4 linked regions of the Yarrowia lipolytica genome follow. The protein of the gene in region 1 purifies or fractionates together with the protein of each later gene. This does not show direct contact. Links are inferred from orthologs where the notes say so. Each region holds a gene or a part of one and is shown in the gene's direction. Other genes may lie near its edges. The genes, in order: YALI1_E15144g, YALI1_C30632g, YALI1_A21919g and YALI1_E16493g.

Evidence for each region.
Region 2: the proteins of YALI1_E15144g (region 1) and YALI1_C30632g purify together in Saccharomyces cerevisiae (affinity purification with mass spectrometry; 8 studies listed by BioGRID, with this or other methods). This does not show direct contact. The link is inferred for Yarrowia lipolytica from reciprocal best matches to the Saccharomyces cerevisiae genes KAP123 and NUP60.
Region 3: the proteins of YALI1_E15144g (region 1) and YALI1_A21919g purify together in Saccharomyces cerevisiae (affinity purification with mass spectrometry; 4 studies listed by BioGRID). This does not show direct contact. The link is inferred for Yarrowia lipolytica from reciprocal best matches to the Saccharomyces cerevisiae genes KAP123 and YRA1.
Region 4: the proteins of YALI1_E15144g (region 1) and YALI1_E16493g purify together in Saccharomyces cerevisiae (affinity purification with mass spectrometry; 3 studies listed by BioGRID). This does not show direct contact. The link is inferred for Yarrowia lipolytica from reciprocal best matches to the Saccharomyces cerevisiae genes KAP123 and SIS1.

What each region holds. Positions count from the first base shown.
Region 1 is NC_090774.1:1,512,105-1,518,824, forward strand, and holds YALI1_E15144g (uncharacterized protein), read left to right. Parts: upstream 1-2,315; coding exon 2,316-5,453; downstream 5,454-6,720. Other genes in the region: YALI1_E15115g (uncharacterized protein), read left to right, coding at 1-1,375.
Region 2 is NC_090772.1:3,061,067-3,066,129, forward strand, and holds YALI1_C30632g (uncharacterized protein), read left to right. Parts: upstream 1-2,217; coding exon 2,218-3,579; downstream 3,580-5,063. Other genes in the region: YALI1_C30614g (uncharacterized protein), read right to left, coding at 1-337, 854-917; YALI1_C30653g (uncharacterized protein), read left to right, coding at 4,319-4,943. UniProt on the Saccharomyces cerevisiae protein: Functions as a component of the nuclear pore complex (NPC).
Region 3 is NC_090770.1:2,189,084-2,194,527, forward strand, and holds YALI1_A21919g (uncharacterized protein), read left to right. Parts: upstream 1-2,806; coding exon 2,807-3,085; intron 3,086-3,935; coding exon 3,936-4,106; intron 4,107-4,319; coding exon 4,320-4,541; downstream 4,542-5,444. Other genes in the region: YALI1_A21913g (uncharacterized protein), read right to left, coding at 1-2,225; YALI1_A21945g (uncharacterized protein), read left to right, coding at 5,431-5,444. UniProt on the Saccharomyces cerevisiae protein: RNA-binding RNA annealing protein. May have a role in pre-mRNA metabolism. Component the TREX complex, which operates in coupling transcription elongation to mRNA export.
Region 4 is NC_090774.1:1,647,365-1,652,014, reverse strand, and holds YALI1_E16493g (uncharacterized protein), read left to right. Parts: upstream 1-2,670; coding exon 2,671-3,777; downstream 3,778-4,650. Other genes in the region: YALI1_E16531g (uncharacterized protein), read left to right, coding at 1-847; YALI1_E16501g (uncharacterized protein), read right to left, coding at 913-1,929. UniProt on the Saccharomyces cerevisiae protein: Required for nuclear migration during mitosis. It is required for the normal initiation of translation. Might mediate the dissociation of a specific protein complex of the translation machinery. Essential for viability.

The sequences.
Region 1 (6,720 bases):
GGATTCCGACATCCCCTACCTCAACAACCACTACGACATCACTGTGGAGTACCACACCACCAAGCAGGGCAAGCACCGAGTGGTTGGCGTGGAAATTCTGCCGCGATCTCTCGACCGATCCGGCGCCGAGGAAGACCTCTGTGGTGACTACCCCAAGCTGCATCTCCAGACTGATCCCGATACTAAGCAGCAGGTGGTTTTCACCTACTCGGTCACCTGGAAGCACTCAGACACCCCCTGGGCCACCCGATGGGACAAGTACCTCCAGGTCCACAACCCCCAGGTCCAGTGGTTTGCCATCATCAACTCCGCCATCGTCGTCACTCTGCTGGCTACTACTGTTGCTACCGTTCTGACCCGAGCTCTGCGAAAGGACATTGCCTCCTACAATGAGATTGATCTGTCTGAGGAGGTTCAGGAGGACAGTGGATGGAAGCTCGTGCATGGAGACGTGTTCCGAACTCCTAAGAACCGAATGATTCTGTGTGCCTTTTTGGGTTCTGGAGCTCAGATGTTCGTCATGTGCGGCCTCACAGTCTTCTTCGCCGTCATTGGATTCCTTTCGCCCTCCAACCGAGGAGCTCTTGGAACAGCCTTCATTCTCTTCTACTCTCTGTCTGGCTTTGTCGGGGGCTACGTGTCTCGAAAGTTCTACAACACCATGGGCGGTGAGAACGTGAAGATGAACCTTCTTCTGACCCCCGTGCTTATCCCCTCCATCATCTTTGCCGCCTTCATTGGTCTCAACTTCTTCCTGATTGCCTACAACTCTGCTGGAGCCGTTCCCTTCGGTACCATGCTTGCTCTGGTTGCCGTGTGGTTCGCCATTTCTGTTCCTCTGTCCATTGCTGGAGGTTTCATCGCCAAGACTCCCTTCTCTGTGCCTGTCAAGACCAACCAGATCCCCCGACAGATCCCTCAGCAGCCCTTTTACCTGGAAAAGGTCCCCTCTGTGGCCATTGCTGGTATTCTGCCCTTTGTGGCCATCTTCGTCGAGCTGTACTTCATTGTCAGCTCCATCTGGTTCCACCGAATGTTCTACATGTTCGGCTTCCTGTTCCTGTCGTACGGTCTCATGCTGGTGTCCACCGTTGTTGTCACTGTGCTCATGATCTACCTGCTGCTGTGCTCCGAAAACTACCACTGGCAGTGGAGATCTTTCTTCATTGCCGGCTCGTGCGCCTTTTACGTGTACGCTCACGCTCTGCTGTTCCTCATCAACAAGCTGGCTCTGGGCTCCTTCACCTCCAACATTCTGTATCTCGGCTACTCCGCCATCATTTCCCTCATTATGTTTGTGCTGCTCGGAACCGTGGGCTACACCTGTTCCTTCTTCTTTGTGCGAAAGATCTACACCGCAATCAAGATTGATTAGACAAGTTAGCATGGCGGTTGTAAAATCTCCCAATAAAATTTTATGAATATTACTGAGCGAACAGCACAGTAGCTATAGACGTTACAGCTGCATTGCTCTCAGCAGACAGGAAATATCGTATCGATCAGCTCCCTTGACAGTGTATACCTTCAAGGGACTGGGTACACTGTATCAACAACTGTCCATGTTGTACTTCTAAAGTACTTGTATACATACTACATATACCACTTGTAGCACTACTTGCACTGGTACTCGTACTGTACCAGTTATTCAGCACACTAACGCATAATACTCTAACGCTTCCTTGGTTACTTGAACAACCAATCCAAACACTCATACTGTAGACGCCTAAATTATTCAATGTCGATATTTTTTTTCATCTTCGGCTCATCCAGGCCACATTGAGTTTGATGAGTTGCGTCAGAGCGGTGTGTGCACAGGGATAAAAAAAATATTTTTTGGATTTGCGTGCAGAGCTCCCTAATGATTGGTGCGCTTACGTAACTACATTCCGACGGTGTGCGGTGTACATACAGTCTGTTTCCACCGTATGCCAGTGTGTGCAAGGGGGCCAAAAAAGACAATAGGGAAAAAGAAACCGAAAAATACGGGAAAAAAAGGGGCTCAAAGTAAGTGCAAGTTGAAAGTGAGATTGCGACGGAATTTTGAAGGGGGAGGGATATTAGACGACGGGGCCGCGGTAGACTTGCCAAATCACGTGACCACCAGACAGACTCGACCCCCCGCACGTGACCGCGGTCCCGTCCCTACGCCAGTGCGACGTCAATTGCTGTAAAACACCCCGGCTCTGTAATCGTAATCGGTCCTTGTTTGAGTGCACAGATGCACCCCCTAACCCCAACTCTAATCGAAAAAATTCCAAGTTTAAATTTTCTCTCGCTATCTCACAGTCTCCTCTTAACTTGTACCTCACTACACGATGGACGACTTCACGGTGCAACTAGCCCAGCTTCTGGGCCAAATCACGTCCCCCAAATCGCCTGAGGACATCAAAAATGCGTCTCAGCGACTGCAGGCCGAGTTCTACATGAACCCTCAGTGTGCCGTGTCTCTGATCCACATTATGCAGAAGCACGAGGACTCTGGAATCAAGCAGCTGGCTGGAATCGAGGCCCGAAAGCAGATCCCCATTTACTGGGAGGAGAACGATCAGGCCGTTCGAAACGAGATCAAGAACTCGCTTCTCCAGTCCACTCTGGCCGAACAGGTGGCCCTTGTACGACACACCTCTGCCCGTGTTGTGGCTGCCATTGGAGAGATTGAGCTGGGTCTGCAGACCTGGAATGAGCTCCCCCAGAGCCTCAACACCGCAATCAGCTCTGGAGACGCCCGAGATCGAGAGGTCGCTACCTACATCATCTACATTCTGCTTGAGGTGGGTGCCGAGACCTTTGTGACCAACGCCTCCAACATTCTTCCTCTGGTGTCCGTCAACATGGCTCAGAACGACGCCGAGCTGCAGGTTACCTCCATGCTGTGCGCTGGTATGATCTCAGAGCTGATTGACTCTTCCGACTCTAATGCCGAGATGTTCAAGAAGCAGGTGGTGCCCCAGATGGTCGATGTGCTCAAGGGTGCCATGCAGCGTGACGACGACAAGACCCTGCAGCTGTTTGAGGTCTTCTCAACCCTGCTTCTCATCGAGGGCGCTCTTGTGGCTGATCACATTGGCGACCTCGTCCAGTTCATGCTGGAGATTGCCAAGCGAGGCGACTCTGACGAGAACAAGATGGCCGCTCTACGGTTCCTGATCTCTGCCGTGCGATTCAAGAAGCGACGACTGCAGGCTCTGGGTCTTGGGCCCACTCTCACCAACTCCATGGTCGAGATCATTGCACAGCAGATTGCCGAGTTCCCCGACGAGCAGGACGACGATGATGAAGATGAGGATACTACCCGAAAGCTTGCTCTGCGAGTCATTGGTTATCTGTCCAACGAGCTGCCTCCCAAGCAGGTGCTTGTCCCCATCTTTGAGCTTCTGCAGCAGCAGCCCAACTCGGACGCTGTGCTTTCTGCTCTCTCCTACGCCATTGAGGGATCTCCCGAGTTCGTGGCCACTCACCTGGACCCCGTTCTCGAGTCTGTCATTGGCACTCTCCGACAGAACCCCACCAACGTGTCTGCTCTGATGGTTCTTGTCCGTCTGGCCTACCACCTGCACCACATTATTGGTGAGCACCACGCTACTCTGGTGCCTCTAATTTGCTCTGCTATGGATGCCTCTTCTTCCCCCGCTCAGTTCAAGGCTGCCACCTCTGCCCTGGAGTCTGTGCTTGAGACTCTCGAGCAGGACGTCATCGCCGAGAAGTACCTGGCCGAGCTCATGCCCCGTCTCATCACCATGCTGGACCAGGCCCAGGACGACTCTCTGCGAACTACTCTGATCGCTGCTGTTGGTTCCGCTGCTTTCGCTGCGAAGGAGGCCTTCACTCCCTACGCCGAGCAGTGCATCAACGGTCTTGGCCAGCTTATCAACCTCGAGAATGCCGCTGAGATGACCGAGGTCGAGCTCGCCGTCAAGGGCTCCGCCTTTGACACTATCGGCGCGATTGCCGGCGCTATTGGCAAGGAGGCCTTCCGACCCTACGTCAACACCTTTGCCGAGAAGGCCTATGCTACTCTGCAGGTGGATCTGCTGCGAGAGGCCGGCTTTGTTTTCTTTGGCGTCATTGCCAAGCTGTACGGCGAGGAGTTTGGCCAGTACCTTCCTCGAGTTATTCCTCTGCTTGTCGAGTTCCTGGGACAGGACGACTTCGGCTTTGAGGATGAGGATGAGGATGATGAGGCTATTGGACAGGAGGACGACGACTCCAAGTTCAAGGTCAACTCGCTGCTGGCTACCCAGAAGGAGACCGCTTTCCAGGTGCTTGGCGACATGATCCTCGCCACCAAGGGCCAGTTCCTCAACTTCCTGGAGGAGATCACCGATCCCCTGTTCTCTGCTCTCGACCACTTTTACGAGGGTATTCGAAAGGAGGCTCTGGGCGCCGTGTGGAAGATTTTCCACTCTCTCTACAGCATGGCCAACCTTCCCCAATGGAAGCCCGGTTTCCCCGCGGACACCTCGGCCTACCCCGAGTCTCTGTCCACCTTCCTGCAGCTTGCTCGAACCAAGACCGTCGAGCTTCTGGAGGAGGAGGACTCTCGACTGGTGGTAATTGCCATCTGCGAGGTGCTTGTTGAGGCCATGAAGGCCGCTGGACCCGCCATTCTCGGCGACGAGGACACCCTGCGAACCATTTGCTCCCAGGTGATCCTTGTGCTCAAGAAGGAGCACCCCGCCCAGATGGAGGAGGAGGAGATTGACGCTGCCGAGCTCGAGCAGTCCGAGTACGACTCCCTCATGCTGGACTACGCCTTTGACGTGTGCGCAGCCATGTCTGAGTCTCTCGAGGCTCACTTTGTGCCCATCTTCAAGGCTCTATTCCCTTACGTGCAGAACTACGCCAACTCCAAGATGGATGAGGAGCGAGCCTTTGGCATTGGTGCTCTGGCCGAGATGACTGTCGGCATGAAGTCCTCCGTCTCCGAGTTCACCGGCGAGATTCTCAACATCTGCATCAAGGGTCTCACCGACGCCCATCTCGATGTGCGATCCAACTCCGCATTTGCATTTGGTGTGTTGGCCGAGAACTCTACTGTCGACCTCACTTCTCAGTACCCTGCCATCCTCCAGAAGCTGCAGCGCCTGCTCACCAAGGTCGACAAGCAGGCCAAGAAGAACCTGTCGGACGACCCCGAGGACAACAACGACCGATGTCTGGCCAACGCCTGCGGTTGTGTCGCTCGAATGACCCTCAAGGCTCCCGGCTCCGTACCCATCAGCGAGGTGGTGCCTGCCCTGGTGGCTCGTCTGCCTCTGGGCGACGGCCAGGAGGAGTATGTGCCCATTTTTGGCCTGTTTGCCGCTCTGCTGGAGCACAACGACCCCACTATTGTGCCTCTCAAGGGTGACATCTCCAATCTGATTCAGGAGATTGCCCGAAAGGACGAGACAGAGAAGATCCTGGACGACCAGGTCAAGCAGAAGCTGGAGGCAGTGATGCAGAAGATGTAGAAAAGTGGCTAGGTGGTCGAGACTATGCTAGATGATTTAATAGATGTTTTATTTATACGATGTAGACCGGGCTCTTGATTTGAGGAGCTGAAGATAGGAGAGCACAATTCTTGAGCCAGGGCTGCTCTCTCGAAGCCTTTCGCTTTCCGAGAGTCGTGTCTACTGAATCCATAACAGAAGCTCACATCCACCCAAGTTGGAAAGCGCTAGTAAAGCAGGTTGCAGGGACATTATTCCAGAAAAGATTTATTTATCGCCCGCGCCAGTGGCATCAGTTGTATTCTGTGTCTGCAGGTAGTGTCATTCCTATCGTATCTAGCGTTGAAGCGTGAATCCATAGAGTGAAGAGGTTGACTCTTTAAATTGGATAGAGGATCCGTGAAGTAACTGAACTGAGGAAATTGGCCATTATATATATTCTTCTTCCACAGTGCCTCCATTCATCTGTCTTTGAATGCTGTTATAGGTATTATCGCATGGTAGCGTTCACAAAGGAGTTGGGAGAAGGTCCACGATTCTGAAATAATATCACCGAATGTCATGACGATATCGAAAGATACAAAAGAAAAAAAAATCACAAGTATGAAACGGTTATCGTTGCTGTATCAACAGATTATAAAAAAATGGACGACACCGGAATCGAACCGGGGACCTCGCGCATGCTAAGCGCATGTGATAACCAACTACACCAGACGCCCTCGTTAAAAACACGGATTTTTGGCATCCACTTTCAGAAATGTTGAAAAATAGAATGAATCATTAGAATAAAAAAAATAAAAAAATGTATGATTTATTGAACGCCAATAACCCGGCTTACTACTTGTAGGTATATAGCTGTAATGAATCATTAGAATAAAAAAAAAAAGTAATGAATCATTAGAATAAAACAAAAAAAACCCAGCAAAAACAAAAAACGAGGGACGTTTTTGACCGTTTCAAAGTGTTTCGAGGGTAGTAGAAATGTAGAATATAAACACACTACTGGTGTTTCTTACGAGTATATAATATTCATGTTTTAACAATGGTATTGATGGACATCAATGTTTGTTGTTGTGTGGTAGGGGTCGAAGAGACCTCTCTCGACTATTATCACTTCCTGAAGTGACCATCAAAAGACTGCAAGTTGAAAGATGAGTTTTAAAAGATAACTGAACTGATGGGGGAACCGCTTTCATCTTTATGAGGTCGAACTAAGTGGCTCCCAGACAAGTACCAAGTTACGTCAAGGAACCATCTGAGAAAAGATCTTACTCTCAGTGATACAGAG
Region 2 (5,063 bases), on another chromosome or scaffold:
ATCTGCACAGCGGTAGCTCCATCTTCTCGAGCAGCGGCAACAACACACAGTGCTTCAAAGGGGAATGCTCCAATGGGGTTGTTCTTCTTGGGTCTGCCCGTCAAAGTACGCCACTGGGTGTCTTCGTCAGCGTACACCTGAACCGAGTCCTGGGGGTATGTCTCGAGCAGAGTTTTGTAATCAAGTTTGTTGACGGTCTCGGTCTCGTCTTCTCCGTTGACTCCAACGACCATACTGGGATGGTTCATGAGCCATTTCCAAATCACTTGCTGGAGTTTGGGCGTGAGATTTGGAACCTTGTCGTAGGAGAGTGTCCACAATTGGGGGAGGGTTACACCTAGGTTAGCAGAACACGAGTCGAGTGTACGAGCTGTGAGAGAAGGGTAGAAGAGTCATGGAACATTGGAGAGCAGGGATGGCGCAGGTGCGAACGGCATAGCAACGAACGAGAAGACTTGGGCAGTCCTATCAGTGCTGTTGAGTACAGTCACAATTCGACCAAAAGTGACCGCTGTAGAGAAAAAACACCCTCAATCAAACTCCATCGCCATCTAGAACGTTCGGGAAGGGTTTCTTCACAGCTTGGGCGTTTTTCACCCCTCCCTAGAGCTATCAGCTAGTCTCAAGTGGACCAAAAACACCCTGATCCTGTCTCCGAAGAGACTGAACAGCTCACACCGACCAGACACACGCACGAACACGTCCATTCTTGCCTCTTCACGTAAATTGCGGCGTTCGCAAAAAAATATTTTTCCCTCTGCGATGCTGCATATCGACCATTTGGCTGGTGGACTGTCGAGACGGGGTTTTTTTGTCCATTTTGCCGTTTGCGTCACTCAGCCGGGACACTCACCTCCGGGACCAAACAGGGCCACGTTTTCCACGAGATAGTCGACAATCTCGTCGGGGGAACTCATGGGTCGGGTTATTGCTCGGGTAAAAAAATGACAAGAGAGATTCGAACTCACGAGGTTATCCGGTAGGGTAATTTGGGACGTAACCCTAGACGACGGGGTTGGGGGAAGCAATTGAAGGCGATATAACGACGTTGCGGGGATTCGAAGAGTGGATATGAGCGAGGTGCAACATTGCCGCCGGAGTGATTGTAGTTCTTGTGGACTTGGTATTGCTTCATATAGTGGGAGGGCAAGGGGAGGGGAGGAAAGTAAGAAGTGTTCAATATACGGGTATGACGAGAATTACACTTGTGGGGGTATTTCAGAGTCTGACTGGGGATGGACAACTGTATGGAGGTGGAGGAAGAGCTGTGGGGATCATTTTGTATGGCGAATGTTGGATTTGTACAAAGTCCGATTATATGAGGTCACGAGGATGGTTTTGTGTGACTACGGCACTGATGGAGTATTCCGGGGTGTGATGATGTCTAGTTTAGAATGGTATGTTTGAATGGCTACTGAGCGTCAAGGAGGAGCAGCCGGACTGTCGCGGAGGAGTAGCCGGACTGTCGCGGAGGAGTTGATGTTTGCGGAGGAGTTGATGATTGCGGAGGAGTACTTCACATTACCATACTCGTGGAGCCGGTTGTCGACTTCCTTTCATCTCAGATCACCCGCTCAACCTCATGCCAATAGCGTTTTCAGACATGAGCTCGCTTGTACCAGCGGTTGAACTGTAGGCCGTCAACACGACGCCTCGTGGAGACGTATCGGACATCAGAATGGGAAACCAAAGACACAAATCTAGACAGGAAGCTTCGACGATCAGATTTATGTGTTTATATCCCACAAAAAGCCCCTCCAACCCCTCTTTAGTGCTGCTCAAAATGCTCTCTCAGCCCCCCCAATAAAGCCAAATCCCTAACCTCCAACCTCCCAACATGCATGGTGCCAAAAAAATCCACATGATACACTAACTAACTACTTGTACGCCTGTGACGACACCAACGTCGACAAACACACCGTTGGCGCAGCATCATGGAAAACTCCCGCGTCGTCCGCACCAAAAGCTCGCTCCGCAGCCTCCGAGGGGTCTCCCTACGGACCGCCCCCCAGCCCCGGCCCGTCGGCGGCCAGCCCCCCCGCTGAGGGACACAGAAGCGGTCTCTTTTCCCGGGTGGTTGGGTTTTTCCGCCCGCACAAACCCGACGACCCCAATCAACCAACACAGAGCCACTCGCCTGCAAATTTGGCCCGGGACCCGCCCGTCTCAGCGCTGTACCCCGTGATTGACCGGTCGCGGACCTTTGAAGAGCCCCAGATGGAGGAGGAGATCACAGAAACGGTGTACACGCCATCGCAGACACCGCCCCGACACAAACGCATTTCGCTGGGCCCCGGAAAATCGCCCAACCAACGCCTGGCAGAGTTCTTCGAGAGAAAAGGAGACGCTCCTTTGAGTGATGTGGAAACCGCAGGTGTACTGGCACTCATCAACGAGGCGGCCAGCGACGATCCCAATCTCGCCGAACGACTGTCGCCTACAGGAACCCAGCACGACCGATCGGTTCGTCATAGCATGAGTTTGGCCAATCTGGCAGGCCGCAACGAGACGTACGGATCGCCCTCCAAGATTCCCAGACGAATGGAGCCCGCTGCGAGTGTTAATGGGACTCTCAAAAAGTCGAGATCAATGGCCTCTATTGGCCAGAGAAACTCCCGTGTCACTAGATCGTCCCTCGGTGGAGTTAGAGGCCGTCCATCTCCCATGATGTCCTCTCCTAAGCGATCTGCACGACAGGCCCTGTCGCCTAACCGAGTCACAACCACAAACTCCACATCGCCCATCACCTCACCGGTCTCTTCTGTCGCAGATAGACCTCTTTCTGGAGTGGCTTCTACTCTTCTGTCTCTGATTGATGATGACGAAGAAGAGGTTGTCACACCAGCCGAATCCTCTCCCGCAAAGGAGTTCATCAACCCCTACGCGTCTTCTCCTCGACGACCCGAGCGAGAACGATCTGCCAGTCAGTTGACCCCCCCGTCGCGTGAGAAACTCATGACTCCTTCCCCCGAAAAGAAGGAGGCGTCGCCGTCAAAAACCCCCTCCCAGATCATCAGTCAGTCCATGCCTCTGGAACAGCAGCGGGAGCGAGATAGCGTCAAGGCCCAGCCGCAGATGAAGAAGTTTGACAAGTATAAGCCTGTGCGATCCAGTAATCTGCGAGACTCCTTTGTGGCCGACCCCAAGTCTCCCGAAAGCACCAAGACCTCGGCGCCGAAGCAAACTGCAGTTTCTTCGTCGGGATCGCCTGAATCCATGCCCCCTTCTTTCACGTTTGGTAACAAGACCAACAACGGTTTCACCTCCAAGCTGAAATCGTCTTCTCCTTCCGGGGACGAAGATACAGATGTGAAGATCGGCAAGGATCTGGCATCTTCTGCTGCCATTCGCTCTCCCTCCAAGCCTCTGTACCCTGAGATTTCCAAAGATAAGCCAGTTCTGCCTTCCACTCCCAAACTGGCCAAGGCAGGTATTCCTTCTACTCCCCTATCCGAGGCTGCCAAAAAGTACGGACGAGACTTTGACTTTAGCACTCCCCTCAAGGGCGAGGTGCCCAAGCCGTTGACTCCAGCAGACAAGTCCAAGGTGGACCAGTTCAAGAAGGATTTCGTTTTCTAGAGAGAGGACCAGGAAACGATAAGGATGTATAGCATGAGAAGGAATAACCAATAAATGATATTGTGTAAACATTTGTGTACAGGGAATACGAGGCTGTGGGTGAGTAACAGTGGTACCGTGAGCTACATAGTGTGTAACAAGAGGCGCAGACATCGTCAAAACTACAGTCAGACTTTGAACTGGTTTGGCCATCTTCAGACTCCGACTTAACTGCCGCCGGAGGAGGTTAAATAGTCATGTTTTTGTATTCCTAGGCTATGTTCGTGAGTGAAAATGTATATATAGATATTTTATCACCCTCTTAAAAAAAATATTATTTTTTATTTTTTTATTTTTATATTTATTTCTATTTCTATAATTCTATATATTTCTATTTATTTCTATTTTATTTCTATTTATTTCTATTTATTTTTTATTTATGTATATTCATAATATATTTATTTATATATTAAATAATACTTTTTATCGTATATTCCTAGAGCCCAAAAACCGTCGCAGAAAGATTATTTTTGTACCGAAATACTCCCTAAAATCCACAGAAAAATCTCACATCAAAATGCAATCCCATTTCTTTCAAATATGGCCTCTAAAAGCGCCTTTTCTGCCTCCAAAATAACCCCACTTGCAACTCTATTTGGTGGCGTCATACGTAATCACTCGCTTCCTATTTGGGAGCTGCTCACATGCAGTGTGTTTATTCTTATCTCGGCATTCCGCGACTACGATACTAATCACACACATGAGTTCTTTCAGCGACGCCGTAAGCCTGGAGGCGCAGCCGGCGTACTCGGACTCGCCCGAGTTCGACAAGCTTAACGCCGATATCTCCGACACGCTGTTCCTGCTGAACAACAACCTGGTGACGCTGGGGCGGCTGCTCAAGGCTGCGCAGAACACGGGGGGCAAGCGGGACGTGGTGGGGCGGGCGATCGATCTTGCCGACGAGACGCGGGACCGGTTCAAGACGACGGGCGAGGATCTCAAGCGGCTCAAGGAATGGGACGACACAAACGCCGCCCAGCGGTTCACGCAACAGAAGCTGGGCCGGGAGTTTGCCACGGCATTGTCCGAGTTTCAGCAGATCCAGAAACGGCTGGCCGCGCACGAGAAGCAGGAGATCAAGATGGACAAGCAGGCGGTGCTGGAGTCGGAGTCGAGGGGCGAGGGTCAGCAGCAGCAGCAGCAACTGCAGCAGCAGGATGTCATGACCCAGGACTTTATGAATCAGTCGGAAACAGATCAGCACATGACGTTGATTTCGGAACGAGAGGAGGAGATCAGAAACATTGAGCAGGGTATCGAGGAGCTCAACGAGATTTTCTCCGATCTCGGTACCATTGTGACCCAACAGGGAACCATTGTTGGTGAGTATGACGGGGGGAGGGGGGGATGTTGAGCAGAGGTTTTGTTTAAACAGGGCGTAGACCAGGGTGTCTTCTGACCTTGGAGGTGGTTATATTGATGCAATGTTCTGTGAATCGGTG
Region 3 (5,444 bases), on another chromosome or scaffold:
GGAGGAGGTGGCAACCCTACGTCAGGCCAGAGCAATTTGCCCATTCGCAATGAGTCCAAAATATTATCGCCCTTGCGTGTCCGCGATTCTTTGTTGCGGCACACCTTTTCAGCGTCCCGCGCTGTAGCCTGAGAACCGATATCCGCGTTCCACTCTCTCCCCAAAAGACCCGTTAGGTGGCTCCATACTCCGGTCGATAGAGCTGCGTCAGAGTAGCCTCCTTCGAGTAAAGAGAGAAGCTTGCCCTTGTAATAAGACGCCAGTGCGGCCGAGTCCTTGGAAAAGCGGTGGTAGAACTCCACAGGCACGTTCACCGAGTGTCGCTGCATGCCCTTACCTTCATGCTCGGATGCATCAAAGCCAGCTGATAGCACCACCAAGGGCTTAAACTCGCGCCCTGCCTCCCGAGCCTCACGCTGGGCCCTGAAAAAGAACTCGTTGGCCTTTTCGAATAGCACACAGTACTTTCTGTAGAGCTGCCAAAACTCCTCTTCGGTTTCGTACGGCTCAAGATGGACGTTCCAAATGGCTAGACCATGGCCCATGAGACAAGTAGACGCATTTCTAAGGGCATCTGGAGTGGCATAGCCTAGCTCTGTAGGGAAACTGTTGATGTCATGCACACTAAAATACCCAATGGTGGGAGACGGATAGGAGTGCTTCTTCTCGGGCTCAGGGGTGTGTTCGGGCGTGGTGTCTGCACCCACGTTCACCTGCGACCAACAAATGTCTTGTGACCCATCTCCGTGGTGCAGATCAAAATCAAGGATGACTGCATGTGTCACGCCGTATTGCTTAGCAGCATATTGGATGGCCACATGGGCATTGTTGATTAGACAGAACCCGGAAGGGTCGCAGGCGTGACAATGGTGCCCTGGCGGTCTAATGTTAACAAACGCCTGCGAAAAAGTGCTTGTCTTTCCCTCGGGAGGTGGTGTGTCGCCAATTGAGAGTTTCTGGAGAGTTTCGGAGACATCTGAATCATACAGTGCGTCCACACCACGCTCAACTGCACCTACCACGCCCTTTAGAGCAGTCAGTGTCTCAGGGGACAAATAGATGTCACCCTCGGGCCAACCAGGAGGCAGTTCCAATTGGCCAGCTTCAAGCTTGTCCTTTGATTCCAGACACAGCTTCTCCAGCAAGTTGATATACTCAACGCCATGGACAGCTGTCACATGCTCACTGGACAAATTAGCCTGTCTGACAGACTCTTCAATCTCAAACTTGCCCGGGTTGTTTGCGATAGCCGCGCCAACACCTAGAGATGTAGCCTTGAGCCGCTCGGGTCGTTCCACCAACGAGTCCTTGTATTTTTTTCCCATCCATGAACGACCAAAAGTGTGTTTGTACGATAGGGGAGATTGAACAATTAGCGTCTGGGCAGTTCCCGAGAAGCACCCAGGATATATCTTGTCAATTGCAATCTTGAATGACGTCACAGCGTCGTAATCATCTGAGGAGGTGGCCACAATCTTGTGAACAGGTGTCTCAGGGACAACTGCAGGGGTTTCTGTTTTCAAGGGAGTGGCTTCAGGGGTGGCCAACTTGAGCGGAGTTGCTTCAGGAGTATTTCTGTGACTGACATGAGGGGTCTGAAATTGTGTGGAAGGTATGGCTGGACTTGAGTGTCGTGAAGAATGGCCCGAATGAGGTGCTGAGGGAGGTACTGAAGACACAGTACCAGAGGCACCCATGTCGAACAGAGCTGGGTCGATAGCTGCTCCATCCTCCAGTCCAGGCTCCTGCTTGATATATCCGTTATATCGCTGTCCATGAGACATGTCTTCACCTCCTGGGGCGGATCGTGTATGCGGCGTGTAATAGGCGCTTGGTGTTTGGGGTGGCTCTTGTTTCACAACTTGGGGGGTATAAGGCTGCTGGGTGTGAGATTGTTGCTGAAAATTCTTGTCCCACGGTTTGGGGATTCGATGGTTTCCATTTGGCTGTTGACTGCCGTTTTCAGGTGTCTGTTGCCGCTCCTGATACTCCATCTTGGTTGTTGTTTTGGTGGAGTGCAGATGTAACGCGTCATGTGTGGACTTAATCTGAACCGTATATTTGAGACATGAGATAGGGTGTTTACTGAAACGGAGAGTGTTCATGTGACCAGAAAAGGGATTGAGGACACATTTGGACTTTGAAAACTTCATAGACAAATACTTCTTGACACCCTGACTGATGGCTTCTCCACATGTATGTATTGTACCTGTAGCCCACCTCATCTCCTACCAAGCTTGGCTAAACGAGAGCTTTAGTCTATAGACAATCAGCCTCAACGGCTGGACATCAGGTTTTGAGAGGTACAAATCACAGTTTGTTTTTTGCTAAAATTGTTCAAGAGTACCACGTGTAATCTCTCACTTGTTCCTGTCACAAAAATACCCCTAGTTACGTATCCCTCAATTCTGGTATTCGTATTTGTATTTCTCAAGTCATGTGTGAAGGAACTTAATTTAAGAAAGGGGCTGGTATACGGATATGCACTACGTTCGAGTGTGTACTTCTTTACCACACCGTCCAAGGGCAAGTACAGCACCACCATATATAAGGATGCAGCATATACAATACACACGTTTATTTTGATCACGCACCCATTTATCTATCATATATCACCCTCCCACCATGTTACAAATGGGGTATGTCACCAACGGTTTAGCGCGTTTTGAACCCTGGCCTTGGTGAGGAAACTCAATTGGGGTTACCCTGCCGAGAGCTGGGGTAATTTGCCAGCGCCACTTATCCCAACTCGCCGACGAAAATCGAACCTCGTACTTCCACACCACACAACACCACACACTCAACCATGTCCAACCTCGACCAGTCCCTCGACGAGATCATCTCCGCTGCCCCCAAGCGATCCAACCGAAAGAACCGACGAGGAGCAAGCGCTGCTGGAAACGGTGGAGTCCAGAAGGCCACCCCTGCCGCCCCCAAGGCTGGTACCCCCAAGAACAAGCAGCAGAAGCAGCAGCAGCAGAAGAAGGTCGCTGCTATTGTCAACCCCATTGACGAGGCCAAGAAGCTCGCCAGCAAGGTCATTATTTCCAACCTGCCCCAGGACATTGGCGAGGACGCCATTCGAGTATGTTAAACCGAAGATACACACACGCGACACTGCTAGAGTGATGCGTGGAGTGGACTCAGTTGCACCTGCAGCCTCAAGGCGCACACAGCAACATCAACGGAGCTGATACCGATTCGTGAACGCTTTCTTCGAAAGTCAGTAGCAAGGGAAGTTGCCATTTTTGTGATGGCAGCACCTCATTCAACAGTAGCCAGTATTTCTGCTCTGCAAAATTCTTGGTGAAGAGTAACCGAATTTCCTTCTTTTTAGGAATAAGGTGAAGAGTAGCCAGACGCTTCCCAGTGAAGAATGTGGTGAAGTGATACGCGGTTTCGGGAGCAGATCTGGATCGTCCTCGGACTGATTCCTGCGCTCACGGCCATGCTTATATGGCCAACCGACATTCCGAGAACTGAAACTGAACGGCCTTTTCAAAAACAGCTGCTAGAGAGCTGAGAGCGGTGGGTTTTGCTTGTTGTCATAATGGAGAGAAAGATCGAAAGCACTCATTGCTAATGTGACACGAGCCGGATTGAAAGCTGATGATCAAAGACCTGCGCATATTCCTTGCCTTGTCTTTGCAGCTGTGCGAGGGAAGAAAAATCCATGTCCAGTTTCAGAAGTCAGCCCCTGGAGGCTGGCAAACCTGTTGCAAATTGCTTGTCGCAGGTTGTCCCTATTACTGGGATTTCTCAGGAATGAAAGTCTGCACCAGCCTGGCTGGGTCAGAGTTAAAGCCGCCAGTAAGACATTGTATAATCCTTGTCAGATTCCTCTGACACTCATTTATGCTCTGCTTTGCTCCCCATTTTCGGATCAGTTCCGTTGTGATTCACGTGATTCCTTAAGAACTCGTGCTGACCATTAGGACTACTTCAAGACTGAGATCGGACCCATTTCCGCCTGCACCATGGTCTACAACAAGGGTGGACACCCTGCCGGAATCGTCAATGTCACCTTCAAGCGACAAGGTGATGCTGCCAAGGCCGCCGACAAGTTCAACGGTACTTCCATCGACCGTGGAAAGCGATACATGAAGGTGAGCAGCTAGACATAACAGAGGAGGATCAAGAGAATCAAGAGGAGGGAAATGCCGGCGACAGTGACGACAAATTACGACCATGACACCATCAAATTGACACTCTGCCTTATTTGGACAGGCAGATGTTACTCTGGAGGAGGAATACCATTGATTGCCGTCTACTGCGTGCCGATAATTGCTTGAGACGAAGCGATTTGGATACTAACACAGGTTGAGTTGGTTTACGACCCTTCCAAGACCCCTCTGTCTGCCCGACTCCAGCCCAAGCCCGAGCCTGCTCCCGCCAAGGCCACCGTCAACGCTGCCGCCAAGGCCAAGCAGCAGCAGCAGCAGCAGCAGAAGAAGAAGGCCACTAAGCCCAAGCCCAAGAAGGCCCCCAAGAAGACTGTGGAGCAGCTCGATGCCGAGATGGCTGACTACTTCCAGGATTAAATAGAATTTAATTGATGTATATTAGCTTTTTAATACTGGTCTTGAGTGTTCTGTGTTATGATAATTCCCCCTCAAGTGGATTCTATATCCTATGGTTGACCAATTGTACGTACTGTAGCTACTTGTACTGCATTGTAGTATTGTATGTGCTGTGTCACTCGTCTTTTGTACAATGTGTCATGGCGGCAGCCGTCAGAGAAGGATCTGCCGTAATATACAGAAGCAGTTAATCACGCCGAAACAGAGACTAAAAGTTCAGTACTGGCGAGGCGACCCCCTGTCATGGACTCCAAACCCTGTGCCTTGTTTCTGTATAGATAGCTACTGTACTTGTAGACGCTAATTATTTCCAATCATAAATTCGAAACATCGCCATTCGCTCGTAGTATGATAGACTAACGGCCCTACCCCCAAACGATAGACAAATACACGAGTCTATGAAAACACTGCCTAATTAGAACGCGAAAAGGGGCATGCACAAACCTACTGGTACAGTATTGTATCATACTAAAAGCCCCATGATTATTAGTGCTCTAACGTGTAAGCCGGGTAGCCGAACCCCGTACTATTTTAGACCCCGTTTCGGACAGAGTACAGGCCCATCAGTCTCGGCGTCCGTGCACTGTATACAACTTCTGACACATTTCCCCTCTGTGCTCGTGTTTGACAGCTCGTCCCCACCTCCTCGCACGGTCTCTTAACTCTCTTCGGTCTTGCGTATTTGCGCGTCTGCAAAAGGTTACTTTCCCCTGAGTACACTCAACTTGTTCCGCTATACGAAATTAAAGTTGGCCCCCTGTCGTTTACTTGTACATCAACCACACACATACAAGCCCAACACCTTACATCAGGATCTCTGGCCAGACCGCATCACCACCTGGAGGACACCATGCAGACGCTGAA
Region 4 (4,650 bases), about 140 kb from region 1:
CATGTTGACATTGATGACCCATTCGGTGGAGTATTTTGATAACGCCAACTTCAAAAAGGTCCTGGGCATGGTTCTTGCTCACGTTTGCACTCTTGAGGGTAATGCTAAGACGGAAAAGTGTCTGACAGTTGTCGAAGAAGTGACCCAATCCAAGTTGCTTACCATGCAACTATGTCTTCGATTGATGGTTCAGGCACAAGTTCTACCTATTGATTCTCATATCATGACCTTTTTGGTGACGCTAAGAAACCTACATCAACTTCAAGACGAAGCAGAGATCCCCGATTGGGAGCGACTGCCTCACTTGAAGTCCACCATTGCCGTAGCACTATTGGAGGCGTTGGTGGAGTTGCGGTACTGCAGAGTTCAGATGTCGTCATACAACCCCGTTGTTTCCATCAGCCTTTTTATGCTCGGCAACTACCTGCGAATTCTTGCCGGTGATATTGCTGAGTCCAGGGAGAACGACTTCCTTTCGGACGACGATTTGGAGTCCATTGTGAATCTCGCCTACGCCTTTTTTTCGTCTGCTCACGAGAATCTCAGCTTCACACATCCTGCAAGCCCCTACGTTGAGCAGACCATGATCTGTGGCGATCTTGTGAGAAAGGACCATGACAATCTGGAGCTTGACGCGAATCTCGTGGTCAGTAAGCATGGTCTTGACCACGACATGTCTGTTCTGTGCGGCTTCCTCTACGAATATCTTGCTCATGACGGGCTTCTTGCTGACGGATCTTTCCCCCAGTCCATCCATATTTTGGATGTGAGTCCTGAGGTGGAAATGATCAAGGGCAAACTGGAGTTTTGGTACCGCCCCATGTCTTCTCCTCCTGTTACTGTGTGATTAAAGCACATGAAGATGAAAGATATACATAGATATATAATAAAATACATAAGCTGGTTAGTAGACTAAACATCATTGAGGGCGACCGAAAGTGCGCCCTTGTGGTGGCCACTGTATTGTCTGATGATTTGCCCAGATGCCAATTCCCACAGCCGCACGTAATGGTCTGAGCTTGCGGTGACAAGGTATGCCGAGTCAGCACTGAATGCGCAATCCCACACCCATCGCTGGTGTCCTGTGAGAGTAGTTTCCAACGAGAATCCATTTTTGATGGACCAGATTCGGGCCGTGTTATCTGCGGAGCAGGTGGCCAGGTGCTTGACGTCTGGAGATAGCAGCACCTTGGTGATATACTTTGAGTGAGATCTGAATTTGGTAATGGGATGCAGAGAAGTCACGTCGCGGGTGTTGTGCATTTTCCACACGTAGCAGTTGCCCTTGTTATTTCCGGCCACCAACATTGATCCATCCGACGCCACAGACACTGATCGTACAGGCACGTCTTCTTCGGGGATCAGTTGGTGAGTGCATGTGTTTTCGCCGAGGTCCCAGATTCGAATGTTTCCCTCCTGGTCGCACGAGATGATTTCTCCTTGGTTGGGGTGGATCACCACATCGTTAACGGGGCATCTATGCTTGTAGTTTCTCTGGACTGTGGCGGTCCGCATATCCCAGACCTTGACTGTTCCATCTTCCGACGAAGTGACCATCCATTTGCCATCGTACTGGAATGCCAATGCCGTCACGTTGCCTGTGTGTCCCTCAAAGGTCATGACCGCCTTGGGGTTGTTACTTCGAATGTCGTACAGCCGCACTGTGTTGCCTCCTGCTGCTGCCAGATACCTCTTGTCTGGCGTGATTGCCAGTCTGTTGACCTGCGAATCAGGATGCTGGATGGTTCGCGAGCAGATTCCACTCAATGCCTCCCAGAACTTGATGGTGTTATCGTAACTCGACGAGCACAAAATCACAGACATGTCCGACTCGGCTGCCGCGGCCTGCTGCTGGGGTTGGACCTGGCCCTGGGGCTGCGCCGGTGGCTGCTGAGGCTGCGCGGATGCTTGATTTGTTTCCGAACCCATGGATTCAACCTGTTTCGTGCTGCTCGAGATATCACGGACTAAACGGCATATTGGGAGCGGCGAGATTAAGCTATGGTCACGTGAGGTGGACCTCTCTCTTCCCCCCCCCCCAGAAATCAGCCAAATCAGGACTACCCTAACCCTGATAAAAAATATGGAAATTCGAAGGTACTCATTTGAGATCGTCAATTGAGGAAAATTGGGTCTGTTTAGCGGCCAGAGCGATCCATTGGCTGAGTTTGCGGGTTTTTCCGTGGATTTTTTTCGTCTTTTTTTTTTGGCCTTGCGCGGTTCATGTATTAATATTGCCCTGCCTGACACACACGCCTGCAAGTACAGTAGCTACGCTACGTACACTTTAACACCGAGAGGAGGAGGTATGGGTGGCGAGGGGAACGCTCAATTGGTAAGAATTTCTCTCTACGTGCGCGCGCTCCGACATCCTGTCTGTCACGTGACTTTTCCCTCTTTTTTCTGTAGCTATTCTATTGCGCTAAGTATATATATATCACACTCACAGCCAAACTGCCGCCTTGGAATTTAGCTCTGTCGTGGTCCCAATTGCCAACCTTATCGCGGCGAAGACGCTGGAAGGTTCACAACCAATCTCGAAGGCTCCAGAAGAGTCGAGTGCGAATAGGCTCTGAGCAATACTTAAGGCGGGTGGTCAGCACTTTTTTTGCGGGCTCTTGTAACGCACGACATAGGTTACTACACCCATACATTTTCACAAGCGATACTATGGTGAAAGAAACAAAGCTCTACGACGACCTCGGGGTGTCTTCTGGCGCCAGCGAGGCGGACATCAAAAAGGCGTACCGAAAGGCTGCTCTCAAGTACCATCCTGACAAGCCCGGAGGAAATGAGGAGAAGTTCAAGCAGATTTCCGAGGCGTACGACATTCTGTCAGACAAGGAGAAGCGAGAGCTCTACGACCAGTATGGTCTAGAGGCTGCTCGAAAAGGAGGAGTTCCCATGCCCGAACCCGGCCAAGGAGGCGGGTTTCCGGGCGGAGGCGGGTTTCCCGGCGGCGCCGGAGGTTTCCCCGGAGGTGGCTTCTCTAGTGGAGGAGGCGGTGGTGGCCCTCAGACTTTCCACTTCTCTTCTGGTGGCGGTGGTCCGGGTGGCTTCGGTGGTTTCTCGTCTGGCGACGCCTTCAACATCTTCAACTCATTCGGACAGCAGGGCGGATTCGACGATGAGGGAGACGACTACGGAGGATTCGCCAACCTCTTTGGCGGACGTGCTGGCCGCCGTGCAGGAGGCATGGGTGGCGGCATGGGCGGTATGGGAGGCATGCCGCGCCAGAGGGCCCGATCGCCCGAGCGAACACAGGTGACAGTCAAGATGCCCGTGTCTTTGGAGGACCTGTGCACCGGTGCCACCAAGAAAATGAAGATCACCCGAAAGGGCCCCAGTGGCCAGCCCGAAGAGAAGGTGCTGACCGTCAACATCAAGCCCGGCTGGAAGGCAGGCACCAAGCTCACCTTTGCTGGCGAGGGAGACTCTCAGCCCAACGGTGGCCAGCAGGATGTGGTGTTTGTCATTGAGCAGAAGCCCAACCCCGTGTTTACTCGAGACGGTGATGATCTCAAAATGTCCATCAAGCTGTCTCTCAAGGAGGCTCTGTGTGGATTCACCAAGATCATTGAGACCCTGGAGGGCAAGAAGCTCAAGATTGAGCAGCGTCTGCCCATCAACCCCGGCCACATTATCACCTACCCCAACTATGGTATGCCCATTTCCAAGAAGCCTGGTGAGCGTGGTCAGTTGATCATCACCATCAAGGTGGACTTCCCCAGCTCGTTGACCGACGCCCAGCGAAAGGCCATTGAGGACAACTTTTAATAGACTAACTTATTGTACATAGAGTGCAAGAGCATTCACATGTAAGAATTAATAAATGATAGCATGATCATGGAGACAATTGTACGTGTGCATGAACAACTCATTACTGCAGCCTTAGTGCAACTCTAAGGATGATTTAGTTGGTGAGGTTTGGCGGGTGTAAAGAGGACATGGAGGTGTTTATAGGGATCAGGGGGAGGTTTGGAGGGTAGGAAAACATGTAGAATGTCTTTTAACGTCCAATTGAGCTGATGGGACTTCTGAGCGCCTTCATTTGGGGCTTCTGACGGCTCTGCTGAAGAAGTTGGTATTGTGCTGTCGACGACATTTTGAAGGCTTTTTAGCATAATTAGCAAACTAAATGTGCAATCGACGTGGGCAGATAAGCGGTGACGTTTGGAGGGCATTTTTCATGTACATGTACAATCACGTCGACGGCCCGTCAAGTGTTCAGAGGGATTATCGTCTTGTACGAGGCATGTGGGTTCTGGATGTGGGTTCTGGAACATTCTAGAATCTGTCGAGTTGAACGAATCTGTCGAGTTCAGCGAATCTGTCGAGTTCAGCGAATCTGTCGAATTCAACAGAAGAGCATTGTGACACAACTTCTTGCAAGCTGATGTGTGATTTGACGACGAGTGGCTGTTTGCATTGGTGTACTAGGGATGTTTGTACATTGTGCTTTACGGTACGAGTACGAGTAGTGTAGTTATGAGAACTTTTTTCATCGACTTTACATCTCCTACAGAACTGAGGTCAAGAAGATGGGTTGGTTAGAGTGGGAAATAGAGGTTCATCTTCAGGTGGTGGTCGTGGACGCATCTTCAGGTCGTAGAGACATCTTAACATCACGAAGATACAGTAGTTATTGCT